Linked DNA regions of Callithrix jacchus. The protein of the gene in region 3 purifies or fractionates together with the protein of the main gene of each other region. This does not show direct contact. Links are inferred from orthologs where the notes say so. Each region holds a gene or a part of one and is shown on either strand. Other genes may lie near its edges.

Region 1 (4,084 bases), on a different chromosome or scaffold from region 3:
CGGCACGAAGACGCATGCGTGGCGACGACAACAACAACAAAAACCACAACCCACATTACTTGAGGGCTCAGGCGTGCGCAAAGCTCCCAGTTCAGTTTCCCGCGCTGGAACCTTTCCAATAGCAAACGCGCAAAGCTCTGCGCGCCCCGCTGGCGCGAGCACCAGGATCTGTCGGTTAGGGTTCTACTTTTACCTATACGCCCCCACAATGCCCTTCGCCTTCCTCAACGTGAACCGCCCCCCTCCCCGCCCCCTCGCTCCAAGTCCATTTTCTGGACCTGGGAATCCACTCTCCGTGTTAGGAAAGGCCCTCAGGAGGCGGAGGGAAACTTGTGGAATGCCGAGAAGCCGTGAAATGAAATAACGTCACGCCTGCCCCTCACCATTACTCTGACCAGGGTTCTAAGGTCACACTTAGAGCGTAAAAGGAGAAGTGCAAGGGGACGAGCGAAATGGCTGGCCCCACCTCAGGTTACCGCACTGGGCCGTTCTGGTTCTCACAACGCTCAGCTCAGCTCAGCCCAGCCCACCCAACCCAAGTCCCTACGCACGGAGCCAAACTGCACCTCTCGCCTCATGAGGCCAGAGCCGGGAGGGTAACAGGAGGCCAGTCAAGGGTGTCCGGCGGGACTGACTCTCACTAGGGGCTCAACAATCAATAAGGACCCAGCGGATTGGCCGGGGATGGGCCAGTCCCCTGGGCAGCAGCGCCCCGCTGCGCCGGAACTAGACGGGAACTGCGTGTCTCCCTCCTCTCCCCGCCCCATCTCGGCTTTTCTCCCAGTGAGCACACAACTATATTTCCCAGGCTCCCTGGCCCCAAACGTCATACCTGGCTTCCGCTTCCGGTGGCTTCTCGCTGTGCCCCGCCCGCAAGCGTCCTCCTCCGGGGCTTCGTGACAGCCAGGTCGTCCGCGGGTCTTCCTGGGATTGGTAGTTCGCTTTTCCTTCATTTCACCAGTTTCTCTTTCTACCTGGGACTCCGTGTCCCGGCATCCATCGCAGCACCTGACCCTTGGCGCTTGCGTGTTGCCCTCTTCCCCACCCTCCCCAATTTCCACTCCCCCCCACCCCACTTCTCTTGCCGCGGTCGGGTCCGCGGCCTGCGCTGTAGCGGTCGCCGCCGTTCTTTGGAACTAGCGACTTCCCTACCCCACCCCAGTCCTGGTCCCCGTCCAGGCGGTGAGTCTGAGGTCGTCGCTACTCAGAGTCTCTTGTTGGGAGCAGCACATGGGGTCTCCGTACTTTGATGTGGGGGCGGGGGAGGAAGCGACCAGGTCCGGCACAAAGGAGGGAGAGGTGGCCTGAGGAGCGGAGGCAAGATGTGTGGACTCCAGTGAAAGGGACTTGACGGTCGCTCCAGCCCATAAGAAGAGGAGGGGCCCGGCTCTTGCTAGAGAATGATAAACTTCGAAACGCTTGGGAAAGGCGCCGGGGTCATGCAGAGAGCTGCAGTGGTAGGGAGCCTGAGCCGAGGTCCGTGCTGGAGGTGACACAAAGTAGAGAGGGCCCTGGCCTTCGGGAGCTCCAGGGATGTGGGTCAGGCTGGTGGGTCAAAGTATCTGTTGGGTTCTCTCAAGTGGTGGGACCCCAAAGTGTGTTTAACCTCAAAGAAAAGGAGCTGAGACGTAAATTAGAGGAGCTGGAGAGGAGTGTTTCAGAGTTTGGGATCCTTTAAAAAAGGACGGCTCCAAATTCTAAAGTCTCCCGTGGTTGGAGGGCCGAATGTGGGAGGAGGGAGGATACCAGAGGCAAGGAGGGAGAACTTGAGCTTTACTGACATTCTTCGTTTTCCAGCTGACGTGAAGATGAGCAGCTCAGAGGAGGTGTCCTGGATTTCCTGGTTCTGTGGGCTCCGTGGCAATGAATTCTTCTGTGAAGTGAGTTCTCTTCAACCCCCCTCCTTGCCAGCTCCACATAGATTCCCACTAGACGTTTCTCCACATATTCCACTTCCTCATCGTTCTCTTATATGCTACTTGAAAACTTCCCATCAATGAAGAGTCCCCTCAGTAACCCCCGGCAAATCTGTGCTAAAGTGGCAAAATTGGGGCCTGTCCCAACTCTGCCATCCTCCAGCAATATAACGTTGGACTAGGCAATTTGTGACTTTCTCTTTTTTTCTTTTTGAGACCGAGTCTTGCTCTGTCACCCAGGCTGGAGTGTAGTGGTGTGATCTCACCTCAATGCAACCTCTGCCTTCCAGGTTCAAGTGATTCTCCTGCTCCAGCCTCCCAAGTAGCTGGGATTACAAGTGGCTGCCACCACGCCCAGCTAATTTTGTATTTTTAGTAGAGACAGGGTTTCACTAGGTTGCCCAGGCTGATCTCGAACTCCAGACTTTAGGTAATCTGCCCGCCTTGGCCTCCCAAAGGGCTGTGATTACAGGCATGAGCCAGTGCACCCAGCGTGTGTCTTTTATTACTAAAGTGGCACTGCTAGTACCTGTCTCAGGTGGCCGTTAGGAGAATTGAAATGCTACGTATCCAAATCTTTTGTTCAGAAACCAGGCTGTTCAGCTTCCACCTTCCTTAGCCAGCTGAGAGGACAAAATGGTTCCTAGCGATGGGAGACAGGAATAAGGATAGAGATCTTGAAAAGAATGTCTCTCTAAGAAAAAGACTGCTGTACCTGCTTATCCTTAGAAAACAAAAGCCAAAGCTTTTATGGGAGGGAGTATAGGTGAACAGAGAAGAGACGCGAGTACTTCTGCTGAGTTTCAAGTGAGAAACAAGGGGGAACAGAGCAGTTAGGTTGATAACAAGGCATCAGTTAGAGCATTTTGCTCACGTTAAAGATGGAGATTTTGACATGGGTTCCCTCTTGGCTTCCATATCCTGACAGGTGGATGAAGACTACATCCAGGACAAATTTAATCTTACTGGACTCAATGAGCAGGTCCCTCACTATCGACAAGCTCTAGATATGATCTTGGACCTGGAGCCTGGTGAGGCACCCTCAGGGTTGTTTGTGTGTGTGCGTGTACTTTTTTTTCTCTTCAGATCCCTATTCACTTGCTTGAATTTTGAAATTTCCTTTGGTTCTCTGATTTTCTTAACCCCAAATTCATGCTTTATTTTGATCCTCCACCTGACTCTTGTCTAGTTTTGTGACGCATTATCACTTGTTTCCCATACTTTTTAAATCCACAGTTCGGATCTATTCCAAAATGGGTTTCCTCATGGGTCTCATTTGCTGTCTGTTTCTCCTACCTTGGACCTTCTAGTCCGGAGTTTGATCTTCTGCATTGATATTGTCGCATTTATGTATTGAGGAGGGAGTTGGGAGGGAGAGGAGAGGAGAGGAGAGGGCAGAGGCTGACGAGGTGTGAAGAGAAGGCAGAGCTCTGCCTTGGGCTGGTGAAAGCGTCAGAAGCCCAGGTTTCTGGGTCACATGCCCAGGTGTTGGATAGGGTAAGGCTCAAAAGTAGGTGCTAGGCAAACTGAATAGCTAGCAGCCCCTGGGTATGGGCAGGGCACCTAGGAAAGCTGAAAAACAAGTGGTTGCATTTGGCTGGGCTGTGTTTCAGATGAAGAACTGGAAGACAACCCCAACCAGAGTGACTTGATTGAGCAGGCAGCCGAGATGCTTTATGGATTGATCCACGCCCGCTACATCCTTACCAACCGTGGCATTGCCCAGATGGTGAGGCCACTCTGCTCCCACTTGCCTCTTTCTGAGCAGTAAGAGAAACAGGTTCCTGCAGCAAGAAGTCATGTTTCAGCCCAGCTAAGGAAGCTAGCTGAGAAGAGGGGAAGAACCCCAGAACTTGGGCCTTGGAATTTAATCCTGATTGGGGGTCATCCTGAAGGGATCGTTTTCAGGGAGGGAGACAGACCTTGAACAGAGAGTTGTTATAGATTGGCTCTTCCTCAAGGAACAAACAGTGAATGGCTCTGATGGTTTGTTGTCTGCCTAACTGGAAGAAAGGCAACATAGGAGTTTGAGAGCCCATCTGGGCCAGTGAAGGGGCCTCTGGACAGAGGTGGGAGGAGTGGGGGACAGAGTGATGTGGGTTGGGCTGAGAAGGGAGTTGCCTCTTCTCTTAACACCTACCTGCCAACCCCTTCCATTTTATTCACCT
Region 2 (3,939 bases), on a different chromosome or scaffold from region 3:
TGCCTGTAATCGCAGCTACTCAGGAGGCAGGAGAATTGCCTGAACCCAGGAGTCGGAGGTTGTGGTGAGCCGAGATTGCGCCATTGCACTCCAACCTGGGTAAAAAGAGCAAACCTCCGTCTCAAAAAAAAAAAAAAAAAAAAAAGGGTTGGGGGGAGGCACACAGTATATATAAATATTTACATGCAGTAATGAAGCAAATGCAGAAAATGTAACCAGTTATTGAATCATATGGCAGTTCTCTGAAACACTTGCAAATTTCTATGTTTGTAATTACATAAAAATGCTACATGAGTGAATAAACTGCCTGATGTCACAAAATTGGCATTTTACTCTTAACAAGACAGGACTTGGCCAGGTACAGTGGCTCATGCCTGTAATCCCAGCACTTTGGAAGGCTGAGGAGGGTGGATCACCTGAGGTCAGGAGTTCAAGACCAGCCTGGCCAATGAGGTGAAACCCATCTCTACTAAAAACACAAAAATTAGCAGGCCATGGTGGCGGACACCTGTAATCCCAGCTATTCAGGAGGCTGAGGCAGGAGAATCGCTTGAATCCAGTAGGCGATAGTTTCAGTAAGCCAAGATCATGCCACTGCACTCCAGCCTGGGCGACAGAGGGAGACTGTCTCAAAAAAAAACCAGACCAGACTCATGTCAAGGTTATACTTCCCAAAGAGAAATTATGCCAAATTTGGGGACAAACTGCAAAGAAATGCTATCACAACCTTCATTTTCTTTAAATGAGGATATATGATCTCCATCCTCATATTCTGGGAAGAGGTCCTAATCTGTGCATAAGCACTAAACGTTTCATGCAAGCCAGCTTCAAATTACTACTCCAGGACTCCACAACTCCAGCTACTACCATACCTTTAAATGTTACTTCCTCTTCTAAACTGATTCAAGTGACCAGACCAGGACAGAAATCTATCTACTAAATGAGTAACACTGACTCAAACTATTTGCCCAGCTAACAATTCCCTCCTCAAGACCACCCTGCCACATACTGCAAGCAGATCCAGAGCCAGTTACATAACACTTTTTCACAGCCCCAGTGGGAAAAAACTGGGGGTGGGGGGGGGATACCACTATAGCTCAGTCCAAACTAGTGTTACCTCAGATAATCAAATTCACAAATGAAAAGACACGTTCCAAAAGACACCAGGGGGGGAAAAAAAAAAAAAGCAAAAGAAACAGCTGGAGAAGGTAGAAAAAAACCCAAGATCTCAAAAAAACAAGATGTGTTACTAAGTAACAAAATCAAGTCTGACAAAACCAGGGGCCACCGATTTAAACCAAACATCAGCAAGCCTTCATGGGGAAGGGGGCTGAGGGTAAAACGAATTTAATCTAAGCTAGTTTTGGCTCCAAGGAGCTGCAAGTCCACAGGCGTGCGGTGAGGGGGCTGCCAGGGACCCCCCAGGGAAAAAGGCAAAGTGCCGTGCTTAGGTTTTGTGAAAAGATGCAGGTGTGGTGGGTCTCCAGATGACTTGCGGCAACATAGAAATGTCATGGTCAGAATTGGAATTCAAAGTGGACCAACATATTTAATAATAATTTTTAAAAAAGGATGAAAGGAAACCCAAAAATGTTCTACGATGCTTGCTTTGTTTTAACGGAAGCTCACATTCAGGTCAGGATGGGACGACCAAGTTTGTTTGTATGTGGCAAAAAGGAAGTTTTAGATGCTGCTGAGAAGTTCACTTAAGAACGTGGGCACCGATTCTGACGGAGTAAGAGAGAGCCTAGGAACAGGAAGAAAATGCAAGGGGGCTCAAAGAGGCACAACAAATAAATCCTGACAGCTAAGAACTGCAACCCACGCGGCCTGACGGCAGAAAGGTCGCAAGAAGCTGAGGGGCAGGGGATGGGCGGAGTGCCAGGGAGGAATCGAGGTCACAGCGGAGAGGGCAGAAGAGAGAGCTGCCGAAGGAGTCAGGAGAGCCGCCCCTGCAGTCCTGCGACGAGGACGGAGACGACCAGCACCTTAGAGAACCTGAGGAGCTGAAAACGCTACCTGCTGGGCCCGGGGTGGGCAGACCGGGCGTTTAAAGGTCAAGGTCAAGGTGGGGCTTGGCAAGCGATGCATAGCGCTTTAAGGAGACCTTAGACATACAAATAATAATGCCATTATTATGACTATCACAATTTTTTTTTTTTTTTTCAGAAGAAAAAATAAAAGGTCTCCTGGACGGCTGCGGGGTGAAGGTGGCCCTGGCAGGAACGCGTGCAAAATAGACCGGGGACTGAAGTCGAGACGGAGGGCGGGCAGAGGGACCAGTGCTGGGCCACCGGAGGGAGGGAGGGAGGGACTGAGACCCGGGCCCAGGGCCTCCGCCTCACTCACTTGCCCTCCTGGCAGTCATAGAGCACGATGGAGTCGTCGTCGCTGCTCGAGATGACCGTCTCGCCGTTGGGGCTGAAATCGAAGCAGTTAATCTTGTCCGAGTTTTCGCGGAACACCTTAGCGACGCGGAAGCTCCGCAGCACGCTGTCGGTCAGCTTCATGGCGGCGGCAGGGGAAGGCAGCGGCGGCGCAGGGCCGGGGCGGGGCCCGGCGGCGAGCGGGCGGGCTGCCGAGGGGCCAACCAGGCGGGGCCGGCGCCGCGCCGGCGGCTAGCGGGAAGTCGGCCGACAGTTGGGCCGCCTCCTCCCCTTCCTCCTGCTTGGACAACAGTCTTCTGCCTGGACTGTGGAGCCTCGCCGATCTTTGGTCCTCACAGCCACCTCAGGGGCAACTAGCGCGTAGCCGGCTCATTGTGTCCGCCATCTTGGGGCGACAGGCAGAAGCGGAGGGCGAGGAGCTTTAGCCGCGGCGCACGTCGGGAAAGGGGGCGGGGCGGGAACAGCCGCGCGAGGCGGGGAGGCGGGGCGGTGACGTCAGCGCTGCCGCTGTCGAGTGTAGTGGCTCGGCGGGCTGCTGGGAGGGAAGGGTCGGGACGTGCAGGGCCTTCCCCAGGGTGTCGGAAGGTGGCGAGTGCCTGGGAGCCGGGGGCCCTTGCGCGGGCTTGCAACATCCCCCTACGAAGGCTCGGGTGTCCCCTACAGGCGCCCCAACCGCAAGCCGCGCGGAAGGGGTGCTTTGGGGTCGGGAACGCGGCTGGAAGCCGGTTTTGGGGGTGAATCAGGTGAACCGCTCGCAGGCGGTCTTGACCGCTACTCCACCGCAGCGCCCGCTTAGACAGCTTCGACCTCTTTACTATTTTATTGGGCTGTGATATACAATAGAGTGCACAATTTTTTTTTTTCAATGAGACGGAGTCTCGCTCTGTCGCCTAGGCTGGAGTGTATTGGTCTTATCTCCGCTCACTGCAACCTCTGCCTCCGGGGTTCAAGCAATTCTCTGACCTCAGCCTCCCGAGTAGCTGGGACTACAGGCGTGTGCCACCATGCCCAGCTAATTTTTTTTTATTTTTAGTAGAGATGGGGTTTCACCATGTCAGTCAGACTGGTCTCGAACTCCTGACCTCAGGTAATCCAACAGCCTCAGCCTCCCAAAGTGCTGGGATTACAGGCATGAACCACTGCTCCCGGCTTCATAACTTTTCTTTTTGAGAAGGAGTCTCACTCTGTCCCCCAGGTGAGTGCAGTGGCAAGATCTCAGTTCACTGCAACCTCCACCTCCCAGGTACAAACGATTCTCCTGCCTCAGCCTCCTGAGTAGCTGGGACTACAGGCTCTCACCACTACACCCAGCTAATTTTTGTATTTTTAGTAGAGATGGGGTTTTGTCATATTGGCCAGGCTGGTCTCGAACTCCCGACCTAAGGTGATCTGCCAGCCTGGGCCTCCCAAAGTGCTGGAATTATAGGCATGAGCCACTGTTCCCAGCCAGAGGATACAGTTTTAAATTCGAATTTCTTCTTCTCTTCATATATATGCATATAAACCTTATAGATGCAACCCTCGCCCCTTTTAGTGTTAAATCTTACACATT
Region 3 (3,500 bases):
AAGTGTTGGGATTACAGGTGTAAGCCACGGCGCCCAGCGGCCAATTTTTTTTTTTTTTTGGAGACAGAGTATCTCACTGTGTTGCCCAGACTGTAGTGCAGTGGTGCAATCTTGGCTCAATGGCAATTTCCGCCTCCTTGGTTCAAGCGATTCTCCTGCCTCAGCCTCCCGAGTACCTGGGACTACAGGCATGTGCCACCATGACCTGCTAATTTTTGTATTTTAGTAGAGATGAGGTTTCACCATGTTGGCCGGGATCGTCTCGATTTCTTAACCGCATGAACTGTCCACGTCGGCCCCCCAAAGTGTTGGGATCACAGGTGTGAGCCACTGCACCCGGCCTGCATTTTTTTTTGAGACAGAGTCTCATTCTGTTGCACAGGCTGGATGGAGTGCAGGAGTGCAATCTCAGCTCACTGCACCCTCTGCCTCCTGAGTAGTTGTGACTACAAGCATGTGCCACCACGCCTGGGTAATTTTTATACTTCTAGTAGTGATGGGGTTTTGCCATGTTGGCTAGGCTGGTCCTGAAAACTTGGCCTCAGGTGATCTGCCAGCCTCAGCCTCCCAAAATGCTGGGATTACAGGTGTGAGCCACTGTGCCCAGCCCATCCAATTTTTTAAATTTTTAGCAGAAACAAGGTCTCAGGTCTCACTACATACCTAGGCTGGTCTCAAACTCTTGAGCTCACGCGATCCTCCCACTTCAGCCTCCCAAAGTGCTGGGGTTACAGGTGATTTGTATATATTTGTATACTGTGGGCTCTCTCTAAATGACGGCTAAGAGATCACAATCCATGCTTGGAAGTACATCAGGCAGTATTCCTTTCATTTGGCCTTTTCCCTGGGGAAACAGCAGCAGCCTGTCCTGGCCTAACACAAGACACGTGCTCACCTTAACTACCTGCAGAAGAGAACACAGTCCCCATGTCCTCCTTAGAATGGCCCAACTCCAATAAACTCAGCTGGGCACTACAGAGGCTGGACAGGCAGGCTACAGCACTGAGGCCTGGGTGCACATGTCCCAGTTCCTGTGAGCCCTGGGACCCCCGGACCTTACCTTATCCAAGAGCTCCCTGGTCTCTTCGGTCAGAGGGTCGTGGGAAAACATGCAGTCGTCACCATTGATGCAGTTCCCCGTGGTGTGGTACAGCTTACACGGGAAATCGCGTTCATGCAAATTAAGGTAAATGCTTCACCTCACAGAACCCTCCCGAAGGCAGAATCCAATTCCCTTTGTTTTGGAGATGAGAAAACTGAACCCAGAGAGGTGAGGGTAGGTGCTCAGGGCTGCTCAGTGGGTTGGCAGCAGACCCATGGAGAGACCCCGGCACTCCAGACTGCAGACCACTTCCTGCCCCATCACACTGGCTGGGGGCTTCGTCCTCAGATTGTCAATCAGACCGAGGAAGTTAAACGACTTGCCCAAGGTATAAAAGCCCCGGAAGAATCTCGGGTGATGGTATGGGCTAGTCTTGGGAGCCTTCAGAAGACAAAACAGGCACCATGTGCATCTCCATTTACTCCCTGGAAGGAGAGGAAAGGCAGAGCCCTCTGAGGGCAGACGTGAGGGTTAGATGAGATGGAGACTCACAGAAAGCTGTTGGCACAGAGAGAGAAAGCACAGCAAAGGAAGGTCAGCTGTTACTACCATCAAGGAACAGAGAAGTTCTGCACCTCGTTCAGGCCAGACGCTGGCACCAAAGGATATCGTGCATATAGGGGCAGTTCTCGGCTCTGGCGCAAAATCCAGTGATGTAAAACTTGCACAGTTCTCGCTTCTTTGGGAGTTCAATGTCATGGCTAAAATTACAGTGGTCTCCCTAGAAGAGAAGCAATGAAAACGTAAGGCGGTGATGTGGGGAGCTCTCGCTTACTTCTATCTGCACTGCGAAGAAATGCTGTCACTGCTGGTGCATGGAGCGGCCAGGGAAAGAAACAAATTCCCCCTGGGAAAGGAAGACAGGTCTAGGAAGCACAGGTGCCAGAGGCTGTTGCCCACAGGGTCTCACTCTGTTGCCCGGGCTGGAGCACAGCGGCACAATCACGGCTCACTGCAGCCTCGCCACATGGGCTCAGGTGATCCTCCCACAGCTAGGACTACAGGCCCACACCACCAAGCCAGCTAGTATGTTTTGAAATTTTTTGTTCAGACAGCATCTCACTATGCTGCCCAAGGTGGTCTGAAACTCCTGGGTTCAAGTGATCTTCCCACCCTGGCCTCCCAAAGTGCTGGGATTATAGGCATGAGCCACCAAGACTGGTCACTTCCTGAATTTAAAGAAAATCCTTTTGCCCATTTCTCTTCCTCCTAGCACCTGGATGTGATGCCATGAGGCACAGCAGCCATCATGTAACCATGAGGACAAAAGCCACATTTTTTTTTTTTTTGAGATGAAGTTTTACTCTCATTGCCCAGGCTGGAATGGAATGGTGTGATCTTGGCTCACTGTAACCTCCGCCTCCTGGGTTCAAGCGATTCTCCTGCCTCAGTCTCCCGAGTAAGTGGGACTACAGGCATGAGCCACCACACCCAGCTAATTCTGTATTTTTAGTAGTGACAGGGTTTCTCCATGTTAGTCAGGCTAGTCTCGAACTCCTGACCTCAAGTGATCTGCAAGCCTCAGCCTCCCAAAGTACTGGGATTACAGGTTTGAGCCACCATGCCCAGCCAAAAGCCACAGGTTTAAAGATGGCAGAATAGCAAGCAGGAAGGAACCTAGATCCCCAGGGTGCCCCTGACCACTGCACTGTCAGGTACAGCCCACCCAGCTCTGGAGTCCTGGTTCTGAGAAACAAATATCTATATGTTGAAGCCAATAGAGTTAAGGTTTCCTTTATTTCCAGCTGAACACAATCAACAACACAACACGTGGGTGAAATCCAGAATTGTGTTTTCCACCCCTCATCATTTGGTCCTCAGGAATCACTCACCAGCACTGTGAACTGAAGACAGAGCTGATCCATCCCCCTAACTCTTAGAAATGCCTATTCTCTCTCTCTCTTTTTTTTTTGAGACAGTTTTGCTCTGGTCACCCAGGCTGGAATACAATGGCATGATTGTGGCTCACTGCAACCTCTGCTTCCCAGGTTCAAGTGATTCTCCTGCCTCAGCTTCCCAAGTAGCTGAGATTACAGGCGCCCGCCAGCAAACCCAGCTAATTTTTGTATTTTTAGTAGAGATGAGGTTTCACAATGTTGGCCAGAATGGTCTCGAACTCCTTACTTCAGGTGATCCACCCGTCTTGGCCTCCCAAAGTGCAGGGATTACAAGCGTGAGCCACTGCGCCCAGCCTTTCTTTTTTCTCACACAGGTTCTCACTCTGCCACCCAGGCTGAAGTGCAGTGGCGCAATCACAGATCATTGCTGCCTTGATCTCCCAGGCTCAAGAGATCCTCCTGCCTCAGACTCCTTAGACGCTGGGACTATAAGCAGACGCCACCAAACTGGGCTTTTTCAATTTTTTTTTAAAAGATGGGGGTCTCATTATGTTGCCCAC

The links. The genes of interacting proteins can lie anywhere in the genome.
Region 1: the proteins of ZC3H4 (region 3) and CSNK2B purify together in Homo sapiens (affinity purification with mass spectrometry; 3 studies listed by BioGRID and IntAct, with this or other methods). This does not show direct contact. The link is inferred for Callithrix jacchus from reciprocal best matches to the Homo sapiens genes ZC3H4 and CSNK2B.
Region 2: the proteins of ZC3H4 (region 3) and WDR82 purify together in Homo sapiens (affinity purification with western blotting; 4 studies listed by BioGRID and IntAct, with this or other methods). This does not show direct contact. The link is inferred for Callithrix jacchus from reciprocal best matches to the Homo sapiens genes ZC3H4 and WDR82.

The regions. Positions count from the first base shown.
Region 1 is NC_133505.1:39,169,693-39,173,776, forward strand, and holds the start of CSNK2B (casein kinase II subunit beta), read left to right. Parts: upstream 1-1,284; 5' UTR 1,285-1,400; coding exon 1,401-1,476; intron 1,477-1,797; coding exon 1,798-1,880; intron 1,881-2,844; coding exon 2,845-2,947; intron 2,948-3,529; coding exon 3,530-3,645; intron 3,646-4,084. UniProt on the Homo sapiens protein: Regulatory subunit of casein kinase II/CK2.
Region 2 is NC_133516.1:34,802,070-34,806,008, forward strand, and holds the start of WDR82 (WD repeat-containing protein 82), read right to left. Parts: upstream 2,801-3,939; 5' UTR 2,511-2,800; coding exon 2,350-2,510; intron 1-2,349. UniProt on the Homo sapiens protein: Regulatory component of the SET1/COMPASS complex implicated in the tethering of this complex to transcriptional start sites of active genes.
Region 3 is NC_133523.1:41,043,101-41,046,600, forward strand, and holds part of ZC3H4 (zinc finger CCCH domain-containing protein 4), read right to left. Parts: intron 1,824-3,500; coding exon 1,712-1,823; intron 1,171-1,711; coding exon 1,061-1,170; intron 1-1,060. UniProt on the Homo sapiens protein: RNA-binding protein that suppresses transcription of long non-coding RNAs (lncRNAs). LncRNAs are defined as transcripts more than 200 nucleotides that are not translated into protein.